Elephas maximus indicus: one gene and its partners. The protein of the gene in region 4 purifies or fractionates together with the protein of the main gene of each other region. This does not show direct contact. Links are inferred from orthologs where the notes say so. Each region holds a gene or a part of one and is shown on either strand. Other genes may lie near its edges. The genes, in order: MAP3K14, HSP90AB1, SQSTM1 and IKBKG.

Region 1 (7,847 bases), on a different chromosome or scaffold from region 4:
CAGGTTATAAGACAAGCCCAGAACTTAAGACCCCATATCTAACAGACTTCAATGTCCCACCAGCTCAACTGAAATGATCTCCTACACAACTTGCCCTATGTCTGGCCTTCCATTTCTCATCTACTGCTTTCGACATTTCAGTCAGCATCACCAAGTACATGCAAAGCCTTCACACGTGCATCATTTTACGTGTTCACGCTACCCCTTGGAGCTGCTCAGCTGCACTCCTTTCCCTTACTAGGGACCTTGGTGTTCCGAGGCCAGAGGGGCTGGCTTATCCTTACAATTCCCAATAATCCACTGACACAGATTTTCCCCCCATGTCAATTTCATGCTGGTGCCGTCAAAAGTGCCCATAATGCTCCGATGTCTCCAGTTTAACTGAAACACTAAAATGGGGCAAACAGGAAGCATCAGACACAACTGCGGTAGTGACTTATTAATCATGAAAGCAGAATTTTAGTTGCATTTTAACCTTTTGCCAGGAAAAAAAAAAACAGCTTTGAGATGATGGAAGCCTTGGTAGAAATATGCTGCCTGATTGTGTATGAAGCTTATACTTGTTCTTTAGCAATGAATTAGGTTTTAAGATTTTTTAACGTTTCCCCAAGCAAGTACATCTGTCAAGTCAACCAATGTGAATCTGTCAGCTCTTCATCAAGGTGGCTAGGCCTGTCAGGAAAGCCCATGTGGTATCCATTGAAACAGGAAAAAAATAGGAAACTAAAAGTGACTTCATAGGCCAAAGGGACAGAACACTCTTAAGAGGGTGCCAACAAGGAAGAAAACAGCCCTAGATGAAGCTTCACCTCTCACATTTCTACAGATCTCTCACTAGACTCAGGTCATGGATGGACTGTTATCACTCACCAAAAAAAAATCACAACAGTTGCCTAGGGTTGGACAGCCAATCAGGGCAAGTCCACTTCTCAGCATGAAATGATACACAAACACTCCAAGCAGATCACAAAGGAGGCAATGTTCAACAGGAGAATCAAAATGAGGAACCAAATCTCCATCTGTTGAGGCGAAACAGCCTGGCCAGACATTTTTGTTTAATAGATGAAGGCTCATCTGGCAGGGTCTCTGTCAATGGTGCCACTCCCACAAACTCTGACAGACAATACCAGGGGCAAAAAACCCCTTTAGAACTCCTCCTTATCATCTGAAAACACTCAGGAGACAGCCTAAAACTTAGCAGCTTACTGCTGTCTGATTTCACAAAAGTGCTGAAACATATACCTGGGTTCTTATTTCTAAAATTAAAGTCAGAGACTACAACTTTTATTTTGAGACCTTCTGAGAAGTTCACCACACCCTTCAAAATAAATGAGGATGTCCTAAAGGTGTCTGAACATCTTAGAGGTCTGCTATCACTGAACCAAAGAAACTAACTTTGACATTACTTTAAAAAACCAAGAGTAAATCTGAATGCATCTTAAGCAAGACGAGCACCTTCTAAGTGTCTTCTCACATTAAGAGCATAAATACCACACCAAACACTGCTCCCTCTTTCCTACATCTGAGTCCCATAATGTGGTTCTGGTCCAGGGGAAGGAGTGCAGAAATGACTTGAGCGACTCAGGCTCAAGTCCCCCACTATCAATGTACGAGGCATCAGGCAATATACATAATTCCCACCACCACCTCCCTCAGGTACTTCACTTATAAAACAGGACAATACTATCTATCTTAGCACAGAGATGTCTGAAGGGAAAAAGGGGTTACAGGTATCAAGATACTTAGATACTTAAGTAAAGTAAAAAATACATCACAAATGTTAAGATACTAATCTCCCTATAATCTTTCATAAAGACCATGCTTCTAGTCAAGGGGTTTTCAACCTTTTTCCAGGAATAAACTTCAGACTGCTAGTTTGTGTCATGGTCCAATCTTATCATTTAATTTCATTTGCTTTTAGAGTTCTTAGTCCTTAAACATCACTACTGTTCTTTGGCTCCAAGTAACAAAAATAATTTTACCATTTTTACTGCTGATTTCTGTACCTTTTCTGCATTCGTCCTTTTTGAGAGCCAAGAGCAACATGTTAAACTCAGCTAGGAAGTAAACACGTTTCTGAAGTTTACCGAGAACCAGGGAGGCTCCTAGGCAGGTGGGAACCTCTGCACTGTACAAGTGTCCTCTTTCTGTCTGGTGCCCGGTCGCTTCAAGTTGCCAGGGCCACGATGGGCTTCCAAGTGGTAATATTATATCTTAGCCGGCAGATAAGAATGTCCTCAGTGGAAAGGGCTGAAGAATTAAAGAGCAGGGCTGGGGCCAGAGGAAAGAGGGAAGATGCTCCGGCGGCCAGCACTGCCCCGCTGGATGCCAAGGGCAGGCTCTGCTCCTTCTCCCCGCCTCGGAGCGTGACCCACGAACTTCCCGGGGACGGCCACGAGAGTTTCACTGGCCAGGGCAGGTGGCAAGGCGCACGGGCCGGGCGCACATCAGCATAAGACACCTTGCTCCCGGAGCGAAGAGAGCCCCGATCCTGGAGGGCACCCGGGGGGTGCGGGGAGGGCGCGGCCTAGCGGTGGGGGCATCTGAGCGCAGTGGAAGAGGGGGTGTTGGGGAAGGGGAAGCAGCGCGCCCCTGCGGGCGATTGGGGCGAGCGTGTGGCCTGGGGGGGGTGGTGAGCGGCCTGGAGGCCTGGAGCGAGCAAAGCGTGCGACTGTAGCCCCGGCAGCGCGTGTGAGCTAGGGCAGGCGGCCGGCCGCGACTGCCGACAGCCCGTGCGCGGGTGGGTCGGACCAGGAGGGCCGGGCCGCGCGGGACCGGACGGCCGGCTCCCCCGCTTAAGGGGCGGCGGCAGGCCAGGCCGTGGCCAGGCCATGGGCTGAGGAGCAAGCTGTCCCCGCCGCCCCCTGAGCGCCCCACGACGGGCCCTGGGGTCCGGCTCAGTCACCTACCGGCCGAGCGCCGATTTCTCCAGCCAGCGAGTGTCGCGCTCCTTTCTCCCACGATCTCCCGCCGCCGGTCACCGACCGCTGAGCTCCCAGCCCACGGTCGCCCCGCCCCACGGACGCCCAGCCCCGACCGCGGGCCCCGCCCCCTCATCGCCTTCCCGGCCGCCCCCGGGGCCACGCCTCCCCCGGCGGCTGCAACTTTGCCTCTCTTCGCGCCTGCTTTCTCTGGCCGCGTCTCGACCTTTGGCCCCTCCCACTCCTCCAAGATAACCAATGAGACGGGCCCAATACTAGCCCAGGCTCTCCCCGTTGTCCCGCCCCTCTAGCGGCGATTGGTTAACGAGGCCTCGTTTCCAGAAATGGGCACTATTTCCGGACAGTGTTTATAGAGAAGAGATTGCTGGGCGGACAGATTGACAGAAAGCGGAGGCGGCCGAAGTGATTGGTGTAACCACACATGCGCGCTCGGCTGCGGGCAGTCTTTTTACCGGTTGCGTTTTTCTTGAGGTTACGGGAAGGAAAGGAGAGTGTGCGCATGCGTGGGCACTCCCAGCCTCTGATTTCGGTTACCTTGGAGACGGCGAGGCGCACCCCCTCCCGGGTGTCGTTCCACTTCCCCTTTGCTGCCAGGCGGAGGCTGCTGAGGTCGGGGGTGATGGGATTAGAAATACTTTTGTTGAGCACTTACTGTATGCCTGACTCTGTAGAGTCCTTGAGGACGAGTAAGACAAGTTACGGTGCCTGCCCTCGAAAAGCTTAGGGAGCCAAGGGCCTACACAGGTCACAGGTCGGATAAAAACGTGTGTTCAAATCAGAGCCCAATGAGAGCGTGCGGCTGACGTGATGCAAAGCCTCCCCTGCCAGAGAAACAACGTGGTGCTAACCCTGGGCGAAGCATCTCCTCGCTGGGTATGCAGGTTACCAAACCAAAAACCAAAGCCATTGCGGTTGAGGCTACTCCGACTCATAGGGACCATAAAGGTTACAAAACCAGAAAGATTAAAGCCTTGCATATGCAAAGAAAGGACTTGAGTTTAAATACCACCGAGGTGTCAACAGTGCTTCTGTCTGAATGGGGAGGAGGGATTGGGGAGAGGGAGTAGAGATAGAAGGTATGGATATTTTTTATTTTCTAAGTTACCTATCTTTTTTTTCCAGTGTTTCTACAGTGAGCCAGTACTTCATAGTAAAAAAAAAAAAAATCAAAAATTATTTTTAAAAGTTTGCGAAATAAAAGATGTGCCCCTTCCATGGTAACCCCCCCCCCCATCAGGGACTCACACAAGTTGTGACTGGCTCTAATGGTAACGGTGAGGAGGCCCCATCAAAGGCAGCTGCCTTGAGCAGTCTCTAAAAGGGTTTGAACAAAGGCCAGGCCACTCTGCTGGAATCACACTTTTCAGACAGTCTTTGGTAGCTCAAAGCCTCTTTCTGAAGATCGGCACCCAACAAACACCTTCTCTTGGGTAAGGTGTTTGTTGGGTAAGGTGTTAGGGAAGACTATTCATTTAGGCACGGAGCCCTGTGGCGAGGTGGTCAAGATCTCAGGCTGCTAACTGTAATGTTGGCAGTCCGAATCCACCAGCTGCTCCTTGGAAACTCTATGGGCAGTTCTACTGTGTCCTATAGGGTCACTATGAGTTGGAATTGACTTGAGGGCATACAACAACATTCATTTAGGCAGGGGTCACAAACTCACAACCTGCGGGCCTCACCCACTCTCCCAGGCCAGAGACATGTTTTGTTTGGCTGGCCCAGTGGTTTTTATTTGTTTGTTTTTTAATTTAATACCTTAGCAGCGCCTGCAGTTCTTTACAGCCTCCACCCCTGTTGTCTTGTGTGCAACCACTTAACCTTATGCCACCTGTCTGCCCCTGAAGCATTTGAGGTTGTGGCCCCATAAAGCCTGTGCTTTGGAGCCAGATATCTGATGCAAATCCTGGCTCTGCCACTGACTAGCAGGGAGATGGTGGGTAAGAATGAAGCTGGACTGTTGGCTCCTAAAGCTCCCTCCAACCCCAGGGTTCTGTGTTTCAGTGACTCAGGGAGAGGTGGAGCTTGCCAGATGGTAGGTTACAGGTTAGTGTCCGTGGGCTTGGATTCCTGGGCTTGGATTCATGTCTTGCCTCTCCTCTCACCTGTTTCCTCTGGGCACACCACTTCTCAGGAAGGACGTGGGCACAGACCCAGATTCTGCAAATGCTCCCTGGCTCAGCTTTGCCTTCCCTCTCTTTCATCATTCCTTCTCTAGTACACAGTGCCCACGTACCTTCTCCAGGCTCCCTTGGCACTTCTCTAATCTTGGGCCCCCTGCATGCCCGACTCACCCCACTAAGGTTATCTGCCCCGAGAAGCTGGAATATATGAAGAAGAACAGGACGTCAGGATTGGTGGAAGACCCTTTAACAACTGTGATACGCAGATGTCAAAACCTTTCTTGCTGAAAGTGAAGACAACTTGAAACACTGATGGAGATCAAAGACTACAGCCTTCAGTATGGATTACACCTCAACATAAAGAAAACAAAAATCCTCACGACTGGACCAATGAGCAACATCACAGTAAACAGAGAAAAGATTGAAGTTGTCAAGGATTTCATTTTACTCGGATCCACAATCAACAGCCATGGAAGCAGCAGTCAAGTCAGAAGACACATTGCATTGGGCAAATCTGCTGGAAAAGCAAAGATGTCACTTTTAAGGCTGAGGTGCTCCTGAGCCAAGCCATGGTGTTTTCAGTCGCCTCATATGCATGCAAAAGCTGGACAATAAATAAGGAAGATCGAAGAAGAACTGATGCCTTTGAATTATGGTGTCGGTGAAGAATATTGAATAAACTATGGACTGCCAGAAGAATGAACAAATCTGTCTTGGAAGAAGTACAGCCAGAATGTTCCTTAGAAATGAGGATGGTGAGACTTTGTCTCACATACATTGGACATGTTATCAGGAGGGACCAGTTCCTGGAGAAGGACATCATGCTTGGTAAAGTAGAGGGTCAACAAAAAAGAGGAAGACCCTCAATGAGATGGATTGACGCAGTGGCTACAACCAGGGGCTCGAACATAGCAACGATGATGAGGATGGTGCAGGACTGGGCAGTGTTTCGTTCTATTGTACATAGGGACATTATGAGTAGAAACTGACTCAATGGCATGTAACAACAATGACAACACTAATGTGATTAACGGGAGAGATTGAACTCTTTGGCCCAAAGCTGTGGCTCTGGAGAAGGAATTTCACGTTAGGTTGCAGGGAAGGAACCAGGGAAAGAACTGGTAGGAACTCCTGCTGAGAATTTGCCTTTCTGTCCCAGATATGGAAACCCTGGTGGCATGGTGGTTAAGTGGTATGGCTGCTAACCAAAGGGTCAGCAGTTCGAATCCACCAGGGGCTCCTTGGAAACTCTATGGTGCCGTTCTATTCTGTTCTATACGGTCACTATGAGTCAGAATCGACTCGATGGCACTGGGTTTGGCTTTTTTTTTTTTGGTCCCAGATATACTGAATCAGAATCTACAGCTAAACAAGATCCCCAGGTGAATCTTATAGATGATAATTGTTGATAACCACTGCTCTACTGGTGGTTCTCAGAATTGGTCCCTAACTAGCAGCATAGCATCACCTGGGAACTTACCAAAAATGCAAATTTGCAGCAGGAGTTCAAACCAGAACAAATCAGTTCAAAGTCCTGGAAGGAACAAACCACCCAGTGAGGAAGATATCTGGAGACAAGCAGGGTTTTGGCTGCTTTTCTCGGTCTTTCTAAGCCCCTTCAAGTGAGCCCCTTGGAGTCTCTGAGTCTTGAAATGCTTCATTTTGCACCCCCTGGAAGGAGAGCTTCAGGGCAAAATCACTTCCTCCACGCCAGGCTAGTTAGGTCACCACAGCCTGGGATGGCTCCTAGTCCTGAGTCACTGGTATGGCCTCAGTTCTGCTTTCAATAAAAGAAATTGACATTTACAGAGTGATTCACACCTGGAGCAGTGAGCAAGGTTCTCAGCGCTCAAGGGTTTCCACATTCCACCCCAAAGGCTTGGATCTGGAAATAGAAAGGTTAGACCATGATCTTCCACAAAGAAAAATCTCAGAATAACAGCTCCTATTTTTTGAGTGTTTACTAGTTGCCAGACACTGGTAAGTACTTGCTTCTTGGGCATGATCTCACCAAATCTTCACCTCTAATCCAGGGTTTCTCAACCCTGACACTATTGACATTTTGGGTTGGATAATTTTTTGTTGTAAGGGGCTATCCTGTGCACTGTAGGATGTTTAATAGCATTCCCGGCCTCTACCCACTAGATGCCAGTAGTCCCTCCCAGCCAGAGTTGTGACAACAAACAGTGTCTCCAGACATTGCTAAATTCCCATGAGGGCAAAATCACCCCCAGTTGAGAACTCCTGCAGTTTAACTACATAGAGTCCAAAAAACCAAACCCGTTGCTGTTGAGTCTCTTCTGACTTACAGCAACCCTATAGGACAGAGTAAAACTGCCCCCTAAGGCTTCCAAGGCTGTAAATCCTTATGGAAGCAGCTTGCCACATTTTTCTGCTGTGGAGCGGCTGTTGGGTTTGAACTGCCAACCTTTTGGTTAGCAGCCAAGCCCTTAACCACTGTACCATGAGGGCTCCTTTCTACAAGGAGTAAGTACTGCTGTTATCATACCCATTTCATAGATAAAAAAAAACAAAAACAACTGAGGCTCAGAGAGAAGTAACTGACCCATGGTCACTTTGCTGTAACAGAAGATCAGGGATTCAAACCAAGTGTGACTCCAGAGCTCCTGCCCCCCTGTTTGCAGGGCTCTTCAAAGAGACAGGTCTTCCAGGAGCCAATTGCCAATTGGTTTTGTGGAAGACTGATGAAAAATGGGTAAATCTTTTAAAGAATTTTTATTGTGCTTTAAGTGAAAGTTTACAAATCAGTCTCATACAAAAATTT
Region 2 (7,197 bases), on a different chromosome or scaffold from region 4:
TTCTAAGTACTCTGTCTGGTCTTCTTTAAGGTGCAGAATCACTTTCGTACCCCGACCAATGGGCTCACCTAGAAAAAGAAGTCACGTGGAACTGAACGTAACAGATAAGACCATGTAACTGTACTGTAAGACAAACTGCTTCACGATGTAACAAAATTTCTACTACAGAACACCCGCAAACAATTCTAAGACTTTTAATCTTTAACACAAAATCCACAGTACTTACCGTGGTCAGCACGAACTGTGAAAGAACCCCCAGCAGAAGACTCCCAAGCATACTGCTCATCATCATTGTGTTTCGTAATCACAACCACTTTCTCTGCCACCAAATAGGCAGAATAAAATCCAACACCAAACTGCCCAATCATGGAGATGTCTGCACCAGCCTACCAAAGAGTTAAAAAAAAAAAAAAAAAAAGGCCAGTTTTGAAAGAACTGCAAGCTGAAGAACGTGGATGAATGTAAATGGTGTGTGCCTAGCTAAAATGCTACATACCTGCAGAGCCTCCATAAATGCTTTGGTCCCAGACTTGGCAATGGTTCCCAAATTATTTATGAGATCAGCCTTGGTCATGCCAATGCCTGTGTCCACCAGCGTCAGAGTGCGTTCTTGGGGGTTGGGGATGATGTCGATTTTCAACTCTTTACCACTGTCTAACTTAGAAGGGTCAGTCAGACTCTCATAACGAATCTTGTCCAAGGCCTGAAAATAATACAAGTAACAGCTTTAGAATCTGCTTCCTTAAGCTCCATCTCTTCATCCAAAGAAAACCCTTAGGTTTTCTACTCCCAAACCACCCACTGCCATCAAGTCAATTCGGACTCATACAACCATAGAGTAGAACCGCCCCATATAGGTTTCCAAGGAGCAGCTGGTGGATTCAAACTGCCAGCCTTTTGGTTAGCAGCCACCAAGGCTCCTTTTTACTCCCAAACAGCCCCAATTTCTGATTACCCCTTAAAACAAGGCTAAAAAACCAGTCACTTAGGTAAGTGGTCTCCAAGAAGACCCCCTTCTCCTCCCTTTGAAGCTCAACATGGACCCACAGACAACAAGGTTCATTCCCTTCAACAGGGTACGGTTCACTCCAACAGTTCTTGTGTGCTAACTCACAGTGACCACACAGGACAGAGCAGAACTGCCCCAGTTTCCTAGGCTGTTATTTTTATGGGAACTCTCCAGGTTTCTTCTCCTTCACCAGTAAGCTGGAACTGCCAGCAGCCCAAAGTGCTACCAGGGGTTCCTTCCTTCAATAGATGCCCCAACCAAATGTCAAACTACCCATCTCCCTCTTCTGGAATGCTCGGACTATACCAGAAACTCACATCAGAAGCATTAGAAATCAACTCCCGAAGGAAAATTTCCTTGTTGGAATAAAAAGTATTGATGATGAGAGACATGAGCTGGGCAATCTCTGCCTGGAAAGCAAAGGTCTCCACCTCCTCGTCTCCATGGTGCACCTCCTCAGGCATCTGCAGTAAGAACAATCAGATATTACAAAGGAACAGAATACCCAGTGTTTGCCCTTTCAGTCCCAAACCCCTAAATTCCACCCCGGCCCATGTATCAAGACTAAAAAGTGGTTTAGTTCAAGGGACTTTGGGCTGAGCACTACTCACTGCCAAGAAACTGGAGGCCCTATTCTATTATGATTTTCAGAAAAACCTAGAACATTTCAACAAAACAATTTTTGGGGGGAAGGTAAGTAAAGCACTGCTACTCATTGGCCCAGGAACCTCGTTTTCTAGCACCGTGCTAAAAAACACAGAACACCGGCCCTACCCCAGGTATTTTGAACGCCCAGAGAAAACCCTACTAATACAGGTTCACATATGCAAAGCATTACCGTTTTCGACGTAAAGACTAAAACAACCTGAATACTAAATTAAAACTGAAACAGCACTAATTAAAATTAGTCCTCCATTAAAAATGTCTAATTCCGAAGAATACGGAACCGTCCAGGCACCAAGAATGCTGGCCCACGCGGAAGGGGAAGGCAACATGAGGATCGATGGAGAACCTGTCCATGAAATGCAATTAAATAGGACAAAGAACGAGAAAACAAAAGCTCCAACACGACCCCACAGCTACAAACTAAAACCTAAAACCAGAGCAAACAACTAAGATGGTGGCCGCAGCCCGCCGGACCGACCCTCGTCACTGCCGGACATGCGCCGGCTGCGGCCACGCGAGGAGGGGGCGCCGCCGCACAGCCCGCCTCCGCCCCAGCATCCGGGCACCGGGGCGGGGCGCCTGGCTCCAGAAGCTTCCAGAACAAACCCAGTTCTCGTCAGGGGCGGGAGTGATACAGAACCCATGAATCCTTCAAAGCCCCTCCCCCCCGGAATGCCAGAAAGATCTGGAAACAGGGATGAAACACGGGGGGCCGAATAACGCCGAAAGCGTCCGTGTCCCATCCCACCCCCGCCACGGACCCTCCAAAAAACGGATCTGCTGGACTTGAAGAACACCGAGCAAGTCAGCGAGTGAGGCTGGCTTCACAAGGCTGTGCTGAGTCACCTCAAACGCGCAGACCCACAACCTTAAGGACCCTTGTGCGCCCCGTAGCCACGTCCGGAAGTGTAGGGGCCAACATGGCAGCGTACCGGACCCGCGCGGCCACCACGTGCGGCTGACCACCACTCTAGACCCACACTGCGTCCCACCTCGCCCGGAGCTAGTCGCCAACTAGGGCAAACTCCGCCATCACCCAAACACATAAAAACGGAATGAAACGAAGACAAATTCGAGACCCCTTCCCACTCCTGAGAGAAAAGGAGACTTGTCCCAAGGCCGTTCCCGCACAATACCTGGAACTTGGAAACGCGAAAAGAACAACTCAAAGAAACGCTCGCGGGAGAAAAGCCGGGGAGAAGATCCCAGCCTTACCTTGAATGGGAAGGGTGACAAATACCAACGAGTCCTAGCTAAAGCCCGTGCACAGCTCGCACGATATAAAACCGCGCGGCCGGAGACTCAAGAGACCTGCCTTGCGCCCCCACTCGCTCTATATAAAGCGAAGCACAACCCGGCACCCCGGCCCGGGATCCCTCCGCCTTAAAGGAGGATGCCCGTCAGCACCGCACCTGCAGCCGCCCGCCCACCTGACGTCATGGTCCAACATGGAGTGCTGGGGGGAGATGCGGGGAGGAATAGAAGAAGCCGACTGGCTCCACAGACGCTGGATCACTGCATCAGTAACATCTACTGTGTGTTCACACACGTCTTTTATCGTGTTCACAGTCCGTTCTCTGCAGATAAAGGGCATGACCCCACCAGGATTGGGGGATTGGGAGTGTTTATATAGCATAAATGGTGACCTTAAAAAAAAAATTGAGTAGCCGCTGGCTCTCTCTAGATTTGGGGGGAATATCTGGAAAAGACCACAGTTTTAGGTGTGGGCGGCTAACCACGCCACCTCAGCTCCCAGGCCCAGCCGTCCTCCTGGAACGCTCCACACATCTCAACAAGACGGTGGGGCTTCCTTCCGGGCCTGTGTGGAACGCGAGGCTCAATTTCCGGACAGACCCCTCAACCCCGGCCCACCTGGGAACAGGAAGATGGGCCGGGGTTTGGCTAGGGGGCTGGGCGACGGCTGGGGGGAGGGGCGCTAGCTGGCAAGGGAACTTTTTGCCGGCGCTCGGCGGAAGGAGCGGTGGAGGTACTGCGAACCTTCCAGCAGTTTCTAGGCTGCTCTGGATGGCCCCGCCCCCGCTCGTCCTACCGGTTTCGCCCCTCCCACTGCGGCCGGGGCCGCGTCTCTGCGCCGGTTCTGTGCGGCGCTTCGGTTTTCATCCGAATTAGTGTAGGCGGCCGGAGGCTCAAACCTGCCCATCGGACCAGCGAGACTAGCCTTGTATGGGGGCGGAGGAGTGGAGTGGAGTGGAGCGTAAACGGGGAGATTTACTGACACTTTTTCCCCTACTCTATCAGTCACACAACACATGGGCTGTTGGGGCGGCTCCCGGGGCGGCTCCCCGGGCGCCGACTTCACCGAGCGGCTGGGGACAAAATCGGTACCAAGGACCTTCCCGGGACCTGCTGCCGCCCACGTGCAGGGGGCGCAGGGACTTGCATCCTCCCTACACCAGCACGTAGACGTTTTTTCGAAAGCTGTTTTTTTATTTTTTTTTTTTCCCTTGGGCCTGTGGGCGGTGGGGGGGGGCGGTGGTGGAATCTCCAGGGACCTGTGCAGGGTGACGGAGGTCTCAGAGGCGGCATGAATATGCTGGCCGAAGGACAGCACGCTCCAGACGACCCGAACCAAATTTGTTCCCCTTTGGCTGCAGCACCGGAGCACCAGGCCGTGCGCCTGCCTAGCGAGCTGCTGACGCCAAGCCTCTCCTGCCTCTCTGCCCCTCGTGCTTTCCTCTCCGGCTGGCAAGCTGTTCTGCCTTTTCAAGGCTTCCTGCGGGAAGCCTGCAGGACTCACAGCTCCTCCAGGGGAGAATGGTGACTCCCTGTTGTGTACATGTTCATCATCTCCTTTCCCTGTCTTCTCTGCACCTGGAATATTGGGGAGGGGTTCCCCCACCACCACTTTTCGGTGCTCCCTCACCAGCCCTGGCACCCGGTCTTCCTTCAAATTCTTTGTTCTTTGTTGAATTCCAGAGAACGAAAGACTCCTGCTTTTCTCTTCTTGCCGCGGCACTCTTCCATCCCATAATCTCTGCTGCCACCACACACTTTTTATCTTACCTTGCCGTTCTACGTGCCTTTATAGGATCTATGAGAAGCCTAGGGCCACGAGAAGTCCGATGAGTGTGGGGGTCTCATAGGCCATGCTGTCAGGAATTCTCCAGCATGCTCTGTTTCTGATCAGATCTCTAACCAGAACCTCATATCTCAGCATACCCTTTCTCAGAAATCTGCTCCCCAGTCACAAAGAACATATTCACAACATCTCACAGCCTTGAGGGAGGTAAAAGCAACTCCGCCTTCCATGGACAGGGAAAAGCAGGTTTCAGTGACACCAGAATCACTCAGCTGAGAGCCCTTGTTCCTCCAGCTCTGTCCCTGCTCCAGAAATGGGTTGGGGGGTGCTGTCTCCCCTCTGAGACCCAAGTCCAAAATGGACCAGGAATTACTCCTGTGGATGGGCTTCCCCTGAACTGGACTCCTGCTCTGTCACAATAGGGCCCTCTTCCAGCACTTCCCCAAATGAGAAAATCTCAAACCTTGAGCCAGTGCAGAAATTCCACCTTTTTCAGTGCAAAAATTCCACCTTTTTGTCCAGGAAGTCTGTAAGGATGACCTCTACCTGTGTCCAAGAGCTCTACCCTGGGGATGCAGGGATGTCCACACAGAACAAGGAGCCCCCAATTGAGTGGAGCTGTAGCAGGCCAAGTGTGAGACAGAGGGGTATGGGAGGAGCAGCAGAGGCCCCAACTTAGGCTGGGGAAGGGGGCATGCTTAGGGGTATGGCACAGGTCTACTCCCAGGAGAGGGAGAAGTATGGAAAGGCACAGAGATCCAAGAGAGGGACCAAAACTCAAAAACCCATGAGGTCAATATACCAGGAGGATATAACCATTGTAAATATTTATGCATCCAAGGACAGGGCTCCAAAGTACATAAACTTTAATGGCTTTGAAAAAAGATAGCTCCAAAATAACAGTAGGAGAGTTCAACACACCACTTTCGGAGAAGGACAGAACATCCAGAAAGATGCTCAATAAAGACAGAAGATCTGAATGCCAAAACCAATGGTTATGATTTCACAGGTATATACAGAACGCTCCAACCAGTGGCAGCCAAATATATTTCGTTCCCAACACACATGGAACATTCTCTACCGTAGACTATATATTAGGCCACAGAGCAAGCCTTAATAGAACCTAAAACATCGAAATATTACAAAGCATCTTTTCTGATGATAAAGCAATAAAAGTAGAAATAACAGAACAAGCAAGGAAAAAAATCATAAATGGAAACTGAACAACACCTTGCTCAAAAACTACTGGGTTATAGAAGAAATTAAGGACGAAATATAGAAATTCATAGAATCAAATGAGAATTAAAACACTTCCTATCAGAACTTTTGGGACACAGCAAAAGTGGTGCTCAGAAGTCAATTTATAGTAATAAATGCAGACATACAAAAGGAAAAAAGGGCCAAAATCAAAGAATTATCCCTACAACTCAAACAAATAGCAGCAGAAGAAGACCTCAGGCAGCAGAAGAAAGCAAATAATAAAAATTAGACCAGAATTAAATAGAGAACAGAAAAACAGTTGAAAGAGTTAATGAGACCAAAAGCTAGTTCTTCGAAAAGATCCACAAAATCGATAAACCGTCGGCCAAACTGACAAAAGAAAAACAGGAGATGAAGCAAATAACCCAAATAAGAAATGAGATGGGTGGTGTCACAACAGACCAAACTGAAATTAAAAGAATCATAACAGAATACTATGAAAAATTATACTCTAACAAATTTGAAAACCTAGAGGAAATGGATAAATTCCTAGAAACACACCACTTACCTAAACTAAGAAAAACATAGGTAGAACAACTAAATAAACCTATAACAAAAGAAGAGAGTGAAAAGGTAATTTAAAAAACTCCCATCAAAAAAAAGCCCTGGCCCTGACAGCTTCACTGGAGAATTCTACCAAACTTCCAGAGAAGAGTTAACACCACTACTACTAAAGGTATTTCAGAGCATAGAAAAGGATAGAATACTCCCAAGCTCATCCTATGAAACCAGCATAATCCTGATATCAAAACCAGGTAAAGACACCACAGAAAAAGAAAATTACAGACCAACATCCCTCATGAACTTAGACACAAAAATCCTAAACAAAATTATAGCCAATAGAATCCAACAACATATCAAAAAAATAATTGACCATGACCAAGTGGGATCCATACCAGGTGTGTAGGGATGGTTCAACATTAGAAAAACAATCAATGTAATCCACACGATCTTATTAATTGGTACAGAAAAGGCATTTGAGAAAGACCAACACCCGTTCATGATAAAAACTCTCAGCTAAATAGTAATAGAACCACACGACAACTAAGAGCCCAAGAGACAGAAAGGGCCACATGAACCAGAGACCTACATCATCCTGAGACCAGAAGAACTAGTTGGTGACCGGCCACAATCGATGACTGCCCTGACAGGAACCACAGCAGAGGACCCCTGAGGGAGCAGGAGATCAGTGGGATACAGACCCCAAATTCTCATAAAAAGA
Region 3 (7,110 bases), on a different chromosome or scaffold from region 4:
CATGCTGCGGGGCACCTCCTGAGCACATGGCGGGCGGTGGTCTCGCCGGCACTCCTTCTTCTCTGTGGGGGAAGGGTGGAGAGAGCCACTGAGGTGACACCTCCAAAGTTCTCCCCCATCCATCACCTCTGTGGGGCTGTTCATGAAACACCCAGTTCCACACAGAATTCAGTTGCTCAGGTGACAGTAACAAAGCAACCCAAGAACCTGCTGAGAGAGTCCCAATCCCTGCACCTGAAAACCGGGCATGCAGAGCCCAGCCAGCTGAGGAGCAGCAGAGAGCTGTGCTGGCACACTCTGGCTTTGCTCCTCACTAAAATAAAGCTTGTACTGTACCCCCAACGCTTCCTCCAGCCCCATGGCACTTGGTTTGGGCACATCAAGAGTGGACTCAGAGACCCTATAGACCCCACTCAGTACATGATGAACATGGACTCCTTTCTGAGGGCAAACTTGGCATTTATTATGACTCTGTCTAGCCCTCAGATTCCTAGCCCTCAAGCCCTATATTTACTCAGCAGGGAACACCTGGCTTCAGGTCACACCCAGAGTAGCCCCTTACCTTTTATGTAAATACGGAAGATGTCATCCTTCACATAGGACATTGCCATTGTCAGCTCCTCATCACTAGAAAAGGCAACCAAGTCCCCATCCTCATCTAGATGGTTTAAAAGACAGCACATGAGTACCTGGGGCTTCCAGATGGATACAAGTTGCTCAAACCAGCTGAGGCCAGTGCTGAAGGGACATTTCAAGGGCTATAAACTGGAACCCCTGTGTGAACTGGGGGAGGTAGGGATGACAGGTGAGATTGCCCATTCACTCTGATGTTGTTAGGAAGGTAAGGACTTCAACATGGGGCCCTGGATCCATGCCAGAGGCAGGTGTGTGTGTGCAGGGCACCACAACAGTGATAGCTGGCCACCCCCTGCTCTGTTTTTGAGCCCCTGGTCCATATCCAACCAGGCCCATCCTCAAATGTGGGAGATCCTGCCTTTGACCAGTTCCTGGGGGACCCAGCCCTCCAAAGGCCTTGGGCTTCTTAAGGTTTAGGAAAGTAATAGATAAGCCGGGGCTTAGAACCAATTCATTCCAGTTCGACCCCCTGCTGAGAATTTGCATTTCCACCCCCCCAGATATACTGAATAATAATCTACTTAAGAATTAAAATGCATATGTAAGAATCACCTGGGGGATCTTGCTAAAATGTAGATTCTGATTCAGTATATCTAGGGTCAAAATGCAAAGTCTCAGCAGGTGGAACCTGAATGAACCTGTTCAAAGTGCTGCTAAAATACCATATTTGGATGTAGTCTCCCATTTTTAGATGTTGGCTCAAAGGGTTTTAAACCACCACCATGCAGGACAAATCACACCATCCATCTGCAGACTGAATAGGGCCTGTGGGTCACCAGATCACAACATCAGGAATAGGGGCGGTGCCAAAAGGTGGAAACAACACAGGTGTCCATCAACAGATGAATGGAAAAACACAATGTGGTATATCCATACAATGGACTAGTATTCCACCATAATATTACATCATGCTACAACATGGATACATCTTGAAAACGCTATGTTAAGTGAAAGAAGCCAGTCACAAAAAACCACATGATTCCATTTATATGAAATGCCCAGAACATGCAAAGCTATAGAGACAGAAAGTAGATTATTGGTAGTTTAGGGCTGGAGGTAATCAGACTGCTAGGGTAGGGGTGATAGCTAAAGGGTATGGGGTTTCAAGGTGATGAAAATGTTCTGAAACTGTGGTGATCGTTGCACAAACCTGTGAATATGCTAAAAACCATTGAGTTATATACTTTTAATGGGTAAATCGTATGACATGTGAATTACATCTCAAAAAAATTCCCAAAAAAAGATAGGGGCGGACCTGGCAGGCTGGCAGCACTGCTGAGGGAGGTCCCAGCACTGTCCCCTCCCAGAGGCTGGCCCTGGATGCTCCGCCCTCCCTTTCACAACCAACTTCCTCAACCCCACCCCCAGGAGTCACCTGTAACACAAGCACAGCCCAAGCTAGCTCCTGGGCCCGCAAAGGCTTCCCAGCCTCCATCCCTACACCAATGTTCCTGAAGAACCTTTGATCTTGTCCGTCTCTCCAGACTATTAGATAGTCAGTACTCTGCCTGGCCTTGGGCGTCCTGTGATCTGGCCCCGACCTCTCTTCGCAGAGACTATCTCGGGATAGTTCCCCGCACCCCACACTTGTTTACCTACGTCATTCCTCCCCCGCCCCTGGCGCCCCTTCCTCCAGGTCGGCTCCGCCCAGGCTCTGTAGGGGTAAATCTGAACCCGCTAGAGGACCCAGACTCCAAAGCCGCAAGATGTCAGTGTAACCTTAGTGCCCGCGGCCCCCGAAAAGCCGAAAGGACGCCTGCGCGTCCTTGCCAAGCTGTGCAGCATCATGGCGGGGGGAGGGGTGGAATCTGGCGCCCCCAGACCTGAGATCCGCCCGTAGAGTGTGGCAGCCCCTGGCCCCAAAAGGGCTAGCGCTTAACAGCTGGAACTGGGCCGGAACCGAGTCTTGGTCCCTACTCCTGGCACTTCCAGACTGGCACCCGGGGCCGAAGTGTGGACCCGCCGCGAGCCACTGCTCACCCAAAAGCCAGAGCAGCCCTCCCTCACCCCATCAGGCATCGACGGGAAGGAAAGGCAGCCACCCAAGCCCCACAGGGCAGGCCGTACAGAGGCCGCTCGGCCTGCGTCACTGCCACCGCCCCCGGCCCTGCTCACCGCGGTAGTGCGCCTGGAAGCCGCCAGGCCGCAGCGCCGGGAACAGGGCGGCCACCCGGCTCAGCAGCCGCTCGCAAGGCCCCGGCCCAGTCGCGGCCTCGGCTTCGGCTTCCGCCTCGGGGCTGAAGCAGAAGCTGAAGCGGCGGATTTCGCGGGCCGCATCCTCCTTGCCTAGAAGGTAGGCCTTGACTGTGAGCGACGCCATACCCCGTTGACGAAGGAGCTGGAACGGAGCTGTACAACGCTGGCCGCAGGCGCGCGGCCTTTATAGGAAATGCGGGAAGCCCCGCCCCACCCGGCCACCTGGGGGCGGGGTCTCCCGGCGAAGTCCTAGCTCCCACCTCCAGACCGCGGCGCGCGCAAGCCGCCCTGCGGGGGCCCCTCACCCGCTGCCACCCTACGTCTCCTGTGACCACCCCCCTCACGGTTGCCGAGGCCCGTTCACTGCCGCCCGTCTCCTCACTGCCCCCAGTACAGCAGGGGCCCCAAGAAGCCCGCCCCGTTAGTCCGACGTCTAAGCTGGGCTCTGGTCTCTACTCCTGGGGCAAGAGGCAGGCAAGGGGTCCCTCCCAGGCCTGGGCCTGGCCATGACTCAGCAAAGTGTCCCCAGGCCGCCGAGGGATGCCTAGAGCAGGGGGTGGGGGGGCACAGAGGCTAGACGCCAGGAGGTGCCTAAGCAATCTAGTGAGCACTGCGGGCCAGAGCAAGCAGGCCCCCTGGGGTGGTACAACGGGGTGGTAGAACAGGGTGCTACCTGCCAGCTTGGTAGCCTCCAGGCCGTTCGGGACAATCAGCCTCTCCCGGGGCGGGGGTGGGGGGTGGGGAGCACACAGCGTCCTCCCTGGCGATTTATCCCCCATCCACCAGCTGTGCCCCCAGCTTAATGGGTGAGCGAGATAGGTTGAGAGGTGCTAGGAGAGCACAGGGGACAGGGGTTGGTGAATATCCCTACACCCGGCACTTCAGTGCAGCCCAAGAGACTCCTGCTGAGTCCCCAGATGCCCACCTGTCAGCACAGGGTTCAATTCAGCAGGTGGTGCCCAAGGGCCCCTGAGTTCACAGCTTGTTGACCTCATGGGCAGGGGGTCAGACCAACTCCCCTAGAGCTATGAGCCTAGAAACACTGCTTTATGTGACCAAATAGACCTGTTTGAAAGGCCTGGGGAGACACCTTGGAAGGAGTTGGGCAGGAAGGGTATGTCACCCTATATTGCACCCAGATGGGGTCCTGTCATGCTTTTTCACGGTTGGCTTTGTGGAAGCGCGAGGGCTGGGAAACCCAGAGACCAAGGGAAGTTTGGTTGGGCTAGGGGATAGTCAAATGCGAAAGTGACTTCCATGTGGGAGCACACAGGGGCTTGTCCACAGGTGTGGCTGATCTTTCCCTGAGGGCTCCAGACAGCTCCTCGCACCCCTGCCCGGAGCAGCGCTGTGGACAGGAGAGTCCCTCTCCACCCCTCCCCCCCGCGTCTCCGCGGTGACCCTCAGCCGCTGAGACCCACGGCCCTGCCGGAAGGGTCAGGGTCTGGGAAGAAAACTGGGGCCGCTGGCAGGAGCGAGGGCGTATGACTCAGCAGCGCCCCATGGGAGACACGCAGCCCAGGCGGTTGGGCGAAGAGCGCGCTTCCTGCCCCAGCTCGGCCGGCCACCCCGCCCCCAGAGCTTCAGGGTCCGGGTCCGAGCACAGTGTGGGCTGAAGAGTGAAGTCATCTGGTTAGGGGAACGCAGGTTTCAGGAACAGCCCAAGGCGCGGCCCTTGCCCAAACAAGTAGTGGGACTCTTTGGCTGCCTCTAGGAACTCCTTTGCTTTCTTAACTTTTATGTCCGTTTGGGACCGTGGTGGGCTTGCAGGGAGGGGTGGGGAAGCTCAGAGAGAAAGGGGTGGCAAGAAATGGGCTCTGGGGAGCAGGCCTGAAGACCGCCACCAGCCCCCAGCTACCGGCCCCTGCCCGGGCTAGTCCGGGTCCGGCCCTTCCCAGCAAGCTCTGCTGTTGAGCACGGCCCAGCCCTCCCCGCCCCCAAGGCCCGCTGAGAGGTAAACAAGACTGTGCGCTGGGGAACCCCCTGGCAGGGCCCTTTCCGCCTACCCCCCGGTGGTCAGGCGGTCCTGCCGTGAGTCAGCGTCCCATGATCGCCATCATGAACTGCGGATCCCCGGCCACCACTGACCCCTCTCAGTGACATCTTACTGAGAGACTGGGTGGAGAGAGGCCCTGGGGGTCTGCGTGAGTCCCACCTGGACCCCGCAGCAAGAAGAGTGCGCAGAGGCGGGGGAGTGGGGGGGTGGGGGTGGGGGGAGGGACCGCAGGGCACCTAGTTGATGGCTGGAGCAAGACGCCCTCCCTGTACAGCCGCCATTCTCTGTCTTTCTCCTCCGTGGGAGGCAGAGACACCGCCCCCTTCCCCAGACACCTCCCCTGTGTCCACTGACCCGCTTCCCACTTTCCAGGGCATGTGCACTCAGCAAGCTGGAAAAGCTTGGCCCTGAGTTGGAGACTTCTGCAATAGACCGCCTTTGGACTAATGCTTCTCAGTTTCCTCATCTTAGAAATGGGGCCCGAGTGGGATGATGTGATGTCCCCACCCAGGTGAGGCCCCTCAGGTGTGCTAGTTGTTCTTTGTCTGCTTTTGGCCTTGTGAGCTGAGGGGGGTTGGGGAGAGAACAAGGAGTTGAGAAGGTTAAAGAGTGGGAGACACAGAAGAGACCTGAGTTAAGAGGTTCTGGGAGGGCCAGGAGGACATCCGATTTTGTTTAGTACTGTCTGGTGTGCTGTAATCACCTCTTCAATCCCACCCTGCCCCACCCCCCAAATAATCCCATCACAATGATTTGACAGAGTTTTTCTGCAGTCCAGTTAATTTTCTTTGAGGTGTGGAGTCAAACCTCCCTAGGTGTGAGGGCTCAGAGCTAGGCCACTAGACACAAGGGGGTCCAGGCTGAGCTGCTCTGGGCTGTGCTTAAAGGAGATTAATTGAGGATCAAGGGAATGAGTCCCACCCAACCCCACCCCTAGGACTAACCCCATAACCAAACAAACCCATTGCCTTCAAATAGATTCCAACTCATAGTAACCCTATAAGGACTAAGGGATGAGTTTTTATGTCCAGGGAAGGAGTCCAAGGAGTGGGAATGCCTCTAGTCCTCCTTCACTAAAGTGTCTTGGTTCTCACACTGCCCTGGACCTGTCTGTCCCTCTCATTGACTCTGAGGGACACACCTCTGCTCACTGTTCCCAACATGCCAACTCATTCTACCTGGTGACTTTTTCCAGGCTCTTCCCTTTGCCTGTAACCCTTCCCTCCCTGGCCTGCATGGCAACCTCCCATCCTAAATGTCACCTCAGTGGGGCCTTCCCTGACCACTCCATCTGGGGAAAATTCTCACCTATTGGACACCACCTCATTTTAGCTGTTTCTGCAAGGCCCAGCCAAGAGAGTAGTGGGTAGGGAGAGGGGGAAGAGGGGCAGGAGGGGCTTGGAAGACTTTTCTATAAGAAAAAAGGGCTCAAGTCATTGGTCCTCAGGGAAATATAAGTTAAAACCACAAGGAGACATGACTGGAGAGTTAAGTGACCCCAAGTGTTGTGGGGCACCGGGCCCTCCTGCCGGACTACTGGAGGGCTGGAGCGACCATTTTGTCTAGGGGTCGCCGGTACTAGAGGAAAGTCGTTGCTGCGCAATGGCATGGGGCCATGGGGATGGGTTTCATCAACAGAGGTGGGCCGGGGGCTAGCTCGGGGCCATGTCTGTAAATACGTATCAGAGAGCCCTGCACCAAAGAACTGCACCGACACTAAGTCCAACCGGGCGGTGCCTGGGGACCCTCGAGCGGGGATCCCAGCCCTGGGCGCCCGGCCCCAAAAGAAAGTGTGGTCCAGGAAGGAAACGGCCAGGCTCAAGCCAAGAAGGGGTCACTGGAGAGACAACCTGTGGGCCACCAAGGGGTGGGCTGGAGCCGGCCCGCGACCCCACCCTGCAGAGAGCCACGTCTGCCCATGGAACCCTGCTCCTCATGTGGACCTCTTCCAGAGCCAGGCGATGAACGGTGCTCTAGGCCTGACTGAGAGAGCCTGCTGGTGGATCAGTTTCCCCACAGCCAAGTTCGCTCTGTGCAGAAGTGGTCAGGTCACGGTCAGCCTTTCCACAGGCCCCCTGAGGCTGGTCCCAAAATGAAACATGCTTCTTCCTGGTCCCAAAGTGAAACATGCTCCTTCCTGGTCGTAGGGTCGCCCCTGTAGCTGTGGGGGGAGGGGGTGCCTCAGAGGAGGGTTCCGCACTCTATCCGGCTTCTCCCTTCCTTGTCAGTGTCCAGAGACCTACCCTGGGGTGGGCTCTGCTGGGGGCCCCAAAGCAGGGAGC
Region 4 (7,426 bases):
AACTGCCCCCATACAGTTTCCAAGGAGGGCCTGGTGGACTCAACCTGCTTTTTGGTTAGCAGTGGTAGCTCTTAACCACTAAGCCACCAGGATTTACTATCAAAAAACATTTTTTTTAAACCATTCAGAGCCTGGTGAGCGTTCCCTGGAGCTGGGGGCAGGGGGTGGGAGTGAGGAGCCCCCGGCATATGATCGGTGCTGAGGTATCAGAAAGTGAAAACTGAGCCTTCAGCCTGAGACAGTGGGGCAAAGAGCCAGCCTGAGCCGCTTGTATTCTCTTGTGGAGTGGAGGTAGGTCATGCAGGAGAGCAGCCCAAGCCCTTTGAAATCCTGCCCGGGAGGACTATGTGGAGGAGGAACTTCTAGATTCCTCCCTCTTCCTTGGAAACCCAGGTGGCATAGTGGTTAAGTGCTACAGCTGCTAACCATAAAGGTCTGTAGTTCAAATCCACCAGGCGCTCCTTGGAAACTCTATGGAAACCTCTACTCTGTCCTAGAGGGTCGCTATGAGTCAGAATCAATTCGACAGCAGTAGGTTTGGGGTTCCCCCCCGATTCTTTAACAGACCTTCCTCCCTTGGCTTCCAGAACCTCCCACTCCCCTGGTTCCCCTCCTGCCTCACTGGCTGCTCCTGCTCAGGCTCCTTTGCTGGATCCTCCTCTTTTCCCCATCCCTTCATGTTGGGGTGCCCCAGGGCTCTGTCCTGGGACCTCTTCTCTAGCTACATTCACTCCACTGAGAATTCCATCTAGTCTCACAGTTTTAAGCCCCATCACTGAACGCTGATGGCTCCCCAAATCAGAGATCTCCAGGCCAGACGGAATCTCTACCTGGATATCTAATAGTGCTCTCAACATTAACTGATCTAAAACTGCACCCCTGAGAGTTCCCAAAAGCCAGTTCCACCCGGCCTTCCCCGTTACCAGCTGATGGCAAATCCATTCTCCAGTTATCAAGACAGACACCCTGGAATCATTCTGGACTCCTTTCTTCCACATCTAATCCATCTGAACGTCCTATCAAATGCATCCCCAAATTCACTTGATGACACTAAGCAATTAATGTTAAGTTAGATGTGATAAGGATATCACAGTTAAGTTTGTTTTTTTTTAATAAATCCTTTCTTAGAAAAATGCAACCCAAATATTCACAAATGAAATTATACGATGCCTGAAATTTGCTTCAAAATAATGGGGGAACTCCTAGGAGTACACTCGAGAAATGAAAACACATGTCCACACGTGAATATTCACAGCAGCATTACTCACAACAGCCCCAAACTGGAAACCATCCCAATGCCATCAACAGATAAACGAATAAACAAAATCTTTTTTTTTTTTTTTTTTTTAGTACATCTGTATACCAAACCAAACCCAAACCCACTGCCATCAAGTCGATTCCAACTCACAGCAACGCTATAGGACAAAGTAGAACTGCCCCTTAGAGTTTCCGAGGAGCAGCTGGCGGATTCGAACTTTCAAACTGCCAACCTTTTGGTTAGCAGCTGAGCTTTTAACTACTGCACCGTCAGAGCTCCACATCCACATACGATGGAATATGATTTGGCCATAAACAGAACTAAAGTACTAACACATGTTTTGGCATGGATGAACCTTGAAAACATGCTGAGTGAAAGAAACCAATCACAAAAGAACACATACTGTATGACCCCATTTATATGAAATATTCAGAACAGGTAGATGCAGAAAATAGATTATAGTTACCAGCAGCTGGGAGGAGGCAGGTGAGGAATGAGGGATGATGGCTAAAGGGCACAGTTTCTTTTTGAGGTGATAAAAATGTTGTGAAATTAGGTAGTGGAGATAGTTGTACAATTTGGAATACACTAAAAGTCATTAAGTTGTGTACTTTAAAAGGGTGTTTGTTGTATGGTGCGTGAATTATATCTCATTAGGTGTTATTAACAGTAATAAAAATAATGGGAAAGGGTTGCGGAGGGTATAAACTACACAAGATTAACCACAATTGATAATTGTAGAGGCTGGAAGGTGGGTACATGGGATTTACTATACTATTTTCTCTACTTTTGTACATCTTTGGAATTGTCCATAATAAAATGCCCAAGGCACCATGGTCTCTCACCTGGATAACTGCAATAACCTAACAGGTCACCCTGCTCCTACCCTTGCCCCGCTAAGTCTGTTCTCCCAAACGCAGCAAAAACAGTCTAAAAGGTACTTCCGATCATGTTCCTCCTCTACTCAGAACCATGCCATGGCTCCCCACTGCCCTCGGTGTAAAAGCCAAAGTCCCTACATCAGCCTACAGGGCCCTGTCCCATCTGGTCCCTATTCCTTCTTCTCCAACTATTCCCTCCCTTGTTCACGCTGCCCCAGCTACACTGGCCTGCTCTGCCGTTCCTTGAACAAGCCAGGCACAACTCATTCATCCTCAGGTCGTAGGGATGGGATGAGGTTCGGCAGATACTAATTGTTTTTGCAAAGCGACCAAACTGAGCTATACAAGGTAAGACATTTAGCTGCTATATTTGAGGTGTTTTTAAATGACTTAACGCCCTCAAATGCATTCAAGTCTGATAGACAGAAGATATCTCTTAACTAAAAAAAAAATATCTCCTAAGTGGAAAGAGTCCTCTTCACACTAGTCAGACCCCGCGGCGGAGGGACAGGGTGCCAAAACAGTCCCGCTAGCCGCTGAAGTAGCCTGGATCCTGAATCCGCCTGCCTCGGCCGGTGCTCTAGAAGCGCGCGGCAGGAACCAGCCCGGGGCCCAAAAGGAGGGGGCAGTCCGGAAAACCCGGGGAGTCTAGGAGAGGCGGCGGAGCGCCCGCCGATGGTACCCTGTCTTCAGGGAAGAGGACCACACCTGTCAGCAGAGTCGGTCCGATGCGAAAAGGGCAGGGGCAGCGGGGCGCGAGCGCTCCTACAATCCCCAGCGCTCCAACAAAGTCCCGGCTCAGCGGTCGCCCTTCCCTTCTCCTGCAGCCGAAACCTGCACTTCCGGCTTCCTGTGTCGGAGCCGTGGGATACGGAAGTGAATCTGGCAAGCCCCCGTCCCGGTGAGTTCGAGAGCTGCACGGGCACCTCCCTCAAGGCCGAGGCCTGCACCGAGGAAAGCGCGAGTCCACCATCCTCGGTAGGTCCCGCGGACCACGAATCCAAACGATGAGAGCCACCTGCCCTTTTCCAAGACGTTGCAACCTCCACTTCCCTTCGCCTCCCGGGGCGATCGATCGCCCCGCCCCTATCGGGGGAGGAGCCAAGACGAGGCCAACCAATAGGGCCGGTTTGACCCGCGAGAGCAGGCGACCGGTCCGTGAGGGGGCGGGGCTTCAGAACCCCTGCCCCGAAGCCAGGGGGAGGAGCCAGAGGAGGCGTGGTTACACTGCCGGCGGAAGTCGAGCGTTCCGCGAGGGCTCATGGTCGCCTGGGGGCTGGCGGGAAAACCAGGATGTCAGGGCGGGGCTGGGCTGGGCTGGAGATGGGGACTCCGGTGAACGACGCGGAATTGCACCAGGCCGCGCGAAGCCTCACCCCTAGAGAGGCGGCCGGTGATGCGGAGCAGCCGCAACGGGGACGGGAGCCAGTCCACGGCCTGACGGCCGGCGCAGGTGCCTGAGGGGCGGAGTGAGAGCGGGGTGGAGGGGGGGGTTGGCTGGCGCGCGAGCTGGGCCGGGGATGCGCGCGCACCTGTCCTCTTCCCCCCACCCCCGCACCGTCGCCCCAGCCCGCCCCGCGCGGGAGGGGCCTGTCGAGGCCCCGCCCCGCGCGCCTCGCCTGAGGCCCATCAGCTCAGCTGAGGCCCCCGCCCCGCCGGTTAAATGGGCTCGCGGGGCGCAGCCCCCGGAAATGAGCGCGCACTCCCGGGCTGCGAGCGCTGCAGGCGACAGCGAGGCGGTACAGGTAACCGAGTCGGGCGGACCGAGAGAGCGGAAGGACGTGCTGCTCGCTACCTCAAGACGTCCTTTGGATTGGCGGTATTTGCTGTACTTGGTAGCGGATCGAGTGAGAGGGCCTTAACAGATCATAGTGTCCAATGCAACCCCCCTCTCATCGGGCCAGTGAGGACATTGAGACCCTGAGAAGGGGGGACTTGCCCGGGGTCGCCCAGGTTAGCAGCAGTAGAGCTGAAGCGGACTCCATCATCCGCTAAGTTTACCAGGATCCCGCGCATTGATGAGTTCCCGCCTGAGTGCAGGATTTTAGAGTGAAAGGGTCATGATCGTGTTGTGTGAGGTCCAGAATGTACTCCCTGAAAGAAGGCAGCCTGGGAGAGTATGGCTGGAGCCTGGGAAAGTATGGCCAGAGCCCAGAGCCAAGAGTTTCTAACCCAACCTGGCCGCCCCGGGCACGTTCACAGCCAGTGGTTTCAGTAACCAGGCGTCAGCCTGCTGAGAGCCTAGAGGCCCCCTTCCAGGTGCTTCTCCTCTGTGGGCTTGTCAACGAGCCTTTCTTTCCCCAGAGAACACCATGGCTGAGCAGGTGGCCCTGAGCCGGACCCAGGTGTGCGGGATCCTCCGGGAAGAGCTGTACCAGGGCGATGCCTTCCACCAGTCTGATACACACATATTCATCATCATGGGCGCCTCGGTGAGTCTCCCACAGCCACATCTCAGAAGCCAGACTTACTGTGTGACATTGCCCAAGGCATCGTCTGGCTCTGCACCTGACCTATCCCAACTAACTGTGCAGCGGCCACTCAGGCACTGCGAGGTTTCACTCTTATAACCGTGACCTGCCCAGGCACCACTGTCATCACAGCACTCCTTGCTGTACCGACACTTGGGAGGCATTTCTAAATCCATGCTCAGACCTTGAAAGTAGACCTGAAACTGGAAGGGCCTGAGGGACTTCCTCCCCCTCCACTGAGAAAACTGAGCCGCAGACAGGGGAAGCTATTCTTTCTGGGAGCATCTTTTTCAAACTTGTCGGTGACTTGATGAACATCACACAGTTAATTTGTTCCAGAGGAAAGATCTGAGGCCCAATCATCACCTCTTTCTACCACCTCATCATCCCTGGGGACAAACATTCAGCTTTGCTTTTCATACCATATCTTTTCCCCAACCGCTAAGGCCTGCTAAAGAGCTGTTCCTTGTCCCACCCCAAGTGTCTAGTTTGTGGAACTGCCATTTTGCTTTGATAGGGAAGGACAAAGAATCAATATAAAGGCAGAGGTATAGCACATGTAAGGAAGAGGTTGGGGGGCCGAGGGGGTGGTCCTAGTAAAGCTGTGGCCCCCGGACCACAGCCCCTATCCAGTGTGCTATATGCAGATAAGATCTGCCTTGCGTGAGATGTGCAGGGGCTTGCTAGACCTGCAGCCAGGGCTGCCTCTTGACTTAAACATGAGTGTGACCAAGAACCTGTTAGCATTCATATGGCCATCTTTGCCATTAACTGATTATGTAATCTTGAGCAAGAGTTCTACCCAAACTAGCTAGAGCCGTACAGAGTGGGCAGTGCTCTGCAACTCTCACACCACAGGCTGCCTTCCCCCTCGTGCTGGAGGCACTTGGCAGCTCTTTGTTCACAGAGAACAACTTGCCGCCACCCTTTACAGAGCCTGCTCTGTGCCTTTGTGTCTTTGGTCAGAAATTGGGAAGGAGAGCCGAAAATAACAAGAAGGCAAGCAAGCTAGAATGAGCTGTACTCTAGGAGAAGAGCCAGTACGAGAGAAAAGGGCTTTGCCCTCTGCCTCACCCAGAACCCCAAAACCTGAGAAAGGTGGGTGTTGTCCACCCCCACCCAGGCAAAGCACACGGTCCCCTTAGAGGAGTCATATCTGCATCAGCCACAAACCTTAACACCTAGTATCCTGGCTGTGAGGCCCTTAGTCCCTGAAACAGGCTCAAAGAGAAAATAATTCGGGATTTTTTTCTTCTCCTTTCCCCATCCCCACACTGGCCTGTTGCAAGGATACACCAACAGAGTTTGCCAGGTCCCACACAGATGGGTTAAGACTCATCTGTAGAGTCTTGGGTCTCATCATTGACAGCATCCAGATAGGCTGTGTGATCTGGGGCTTTAGACCTCAGCACATATCAATTGAGCGTTTCTGAATGAATGACAAGGGTCCACAGGCTCTGCCGAGCTGGTTTTATGGCTCTTTGCTGTCTTCGCCTGTGGCCAACCTGGGGTGGTGGTGGCTGTTGTTGTTAGGTGTCATCGAGTCGATTCCAACTCAGAGCAATCCTCTGTGACAGAGTCGAACTGCCCCATAGGGTTTTCTAAGCTGTAATCTTTATGGAAGCAGATTGCCAGATCTTCCCCCCGCCCAGTCGCTGGGTGGGTTCAAACCACCAGTGTTTCAGTTAGCAGCCAAGCACTTAACTATTGCACCACTAGGGCTCCTTAGCCTGGGGTTAGGCAACGCTATTCCAACGCAACCAGCAGGGTTCCCCTTTGCTCTCCTCTGCCCAGGGGCAACAGCCAGAGGTTCCAAAGCAGAGATGGGAAGTGCTGGCTTCGCAGCGTGGAGTGCAGGGCCAGGGGTCCTCCTAAGAGCCTGTGTTGTTTCTCTCCTGACTCTTCTCCTGCTTGAGGGGACTGGAGCAGGGTGGGCAGGTCCTCCCTTGGAGCAAGGACTAGAGGGAGCATTGTGGGGGCATCCACCCGGGGTGCTCTGATAGCACCTGGAACAGCTCCCATCCTGTGCTGCAGAGGTAGGCAGGGTGGTGCTTTGGGAAACTGCGTTCTCTGCTCACTCATTCAACAAGTAGCCGTCACCGGCCTCTGCTGTCCCTGGCCTTGTGCTAGGCATTGGGCAACACCAAGACCACAGCAGCCACAATCCCTGCCCTCATGGCCCTGTGCTTTATGGGAGGCTGGGGACGCAAGGTGAGTTCAGAGCAGTACCTGTGACAGGAGAAACAAACAGGGCTGGGAGGGGGCCAGAGGCCTTGAGAGGTGTGGTCAGGGTGGGCCCTGGGGAGGGGGAGGCACCTGATACTGAGGTCTGCAGCACGAGGCCCCAGGGGAACTTGCTGAGCAAAGGGAAGAGCAGAGGCAAAGCCCTGAGTCAGAGCAAACTGGATGTGACCTAGAAGCTGACAGGAGGCCAGTGGCTAGCGGGCCCAGAACCTGAGCAGGTCAGACCCATGTGGCCATGCTCTGCCCCTCCTGCCTCCTGCACCCACTTACCCAACCCAAACCCACACTGCAGCTTCTTCCTGGGGGCAGCCTGATTCTGCCTCACAGAGTTACAAAACGAGCTTTGAGCCCCTGTCTCCCTGCTATGTGGCCACTTCCCCTTTCTCAGGCCTTTCTTCCCACCCCCACCCCCACCCCTGACCCAGGAAGGGAGTAGAAGAGCTCACTTTCCCAGTGGCAGGGATCCCAGCCCAGAAAGCTCAAATGAAAGAAACCAGTTTCTCCTTATGGACCAGCGTGGGGGAAAGAACCTTGGACCTAGAAGGATGTATCTTCCTCCATCTGATAGGAGC

The links.
Region 1: the proteins of IKBKG (region 4) and MAP3K14 purify together in Homo sapiens (affinity purification with mass spectrometry; 6 studies listed by BioGRID and IntAct, counting the BioPlex papers as one, with this or other methods). This does not show direct contact. The link is inferred for Elephas maximus indicus from reciprocal best matches to the Homo sapiens genes IKBKG and MAP3K14.
Region 2: the proteins of IKBKG (region 4) and HSP90AB1 purify together in Homo sapiens (co-immunoprecipitation; 4 studies listed by BioGRID and IntAct, with this or other methods). This does not show direct contact. The link is inferred for Elephas maximus indicus from reciprocal best matches to the Homo sapiens genes IKBKG and HSP90AB1.
Region 3: the proteins of IKBKG (region 4) and SQSTM1 purify together in Homo sapiens (affinity purification with western blotting; 3 studies listed by BioGRID and IntAct, with this or other methods). This does not show direct contact. The link is inferred for Elephas maximus indicus from reciprocal best matches to the Homo sapiens genes IKBKG and SQSTM1.

Annotation. Positions count from the first base shown.
Region 1 is NC_064837.1:51,659,080-51,666,926, forward strand, and holds the start of MAP3K14 (mitogen-activated protein kinase kinase kinase 14), read right to left. Parts: upstream 3,011-7,847; 5' UTR 2,910-3,010; intron 1-2,909.
Region 2 is NC_064819.1:108,807,113-108,814,309, reverse strand, and holds the start of HSP90AB1 (heat shock protein HSP 90-beta), read right to left. Parts: upstream 3,004-7,197; 5' UTR 2,891-3,003; intron 1,474-2,890; coding exon 1,327-1,473; intron 704-1,326; coding exon 497-703; intron 387-496; coding exon 227-386; intron 69-226; coding exon 1-68. UniProt on the Homo sapiens protein: Molecular chaperone that promotes the maturation, structural maintenance and proper regulation of specific target proteins involved for instance in cell cycle control and signal transduction. Undergoes a functional cycle linked to its ATPase activity.
Region 3 is NC_064820.1:202,022,207-202,029,316, reverse strand, and holds the start of SQSTM1 (sequestosome-1), read right to left. Parts: upstream 3,004-7,110; 5' UTR 2,957-3,003; coding exon 2,752-2,956; intron 659-2,751; coding exon 563-658; intron 63-562; coding exon 1-62. UniProt on the Homo sapiens protein: Molecular adapter required for selective macroautophagy (aggrephagy) by acting as a bridge between polyubiquitinated proteins and autophagosomes.
Region 4 is NC_064846.1:1,893,290-1,900,715, forward strand, and holds the start of IKBKG (NF-kappa-B essential modulator), read right to left. Parts: upstream 3,013-7,426; 5' UTR 2,848-3,012; intron 1-2,847. Other genes in the region: G6PD (glucose-6-phosphate 1-dehydrogenase), read left to right, coding at 3,433-3,592, 4,444-4,571. UniProt on the Homo sapiens protein: Regulatory subunit of the IKK core complex which phosphorylates inhibitors of NF-kappa-B thus leading to the dissociation of the inhibitor/NF-kappa-B complex and ultimately the degradation of the inhibitor.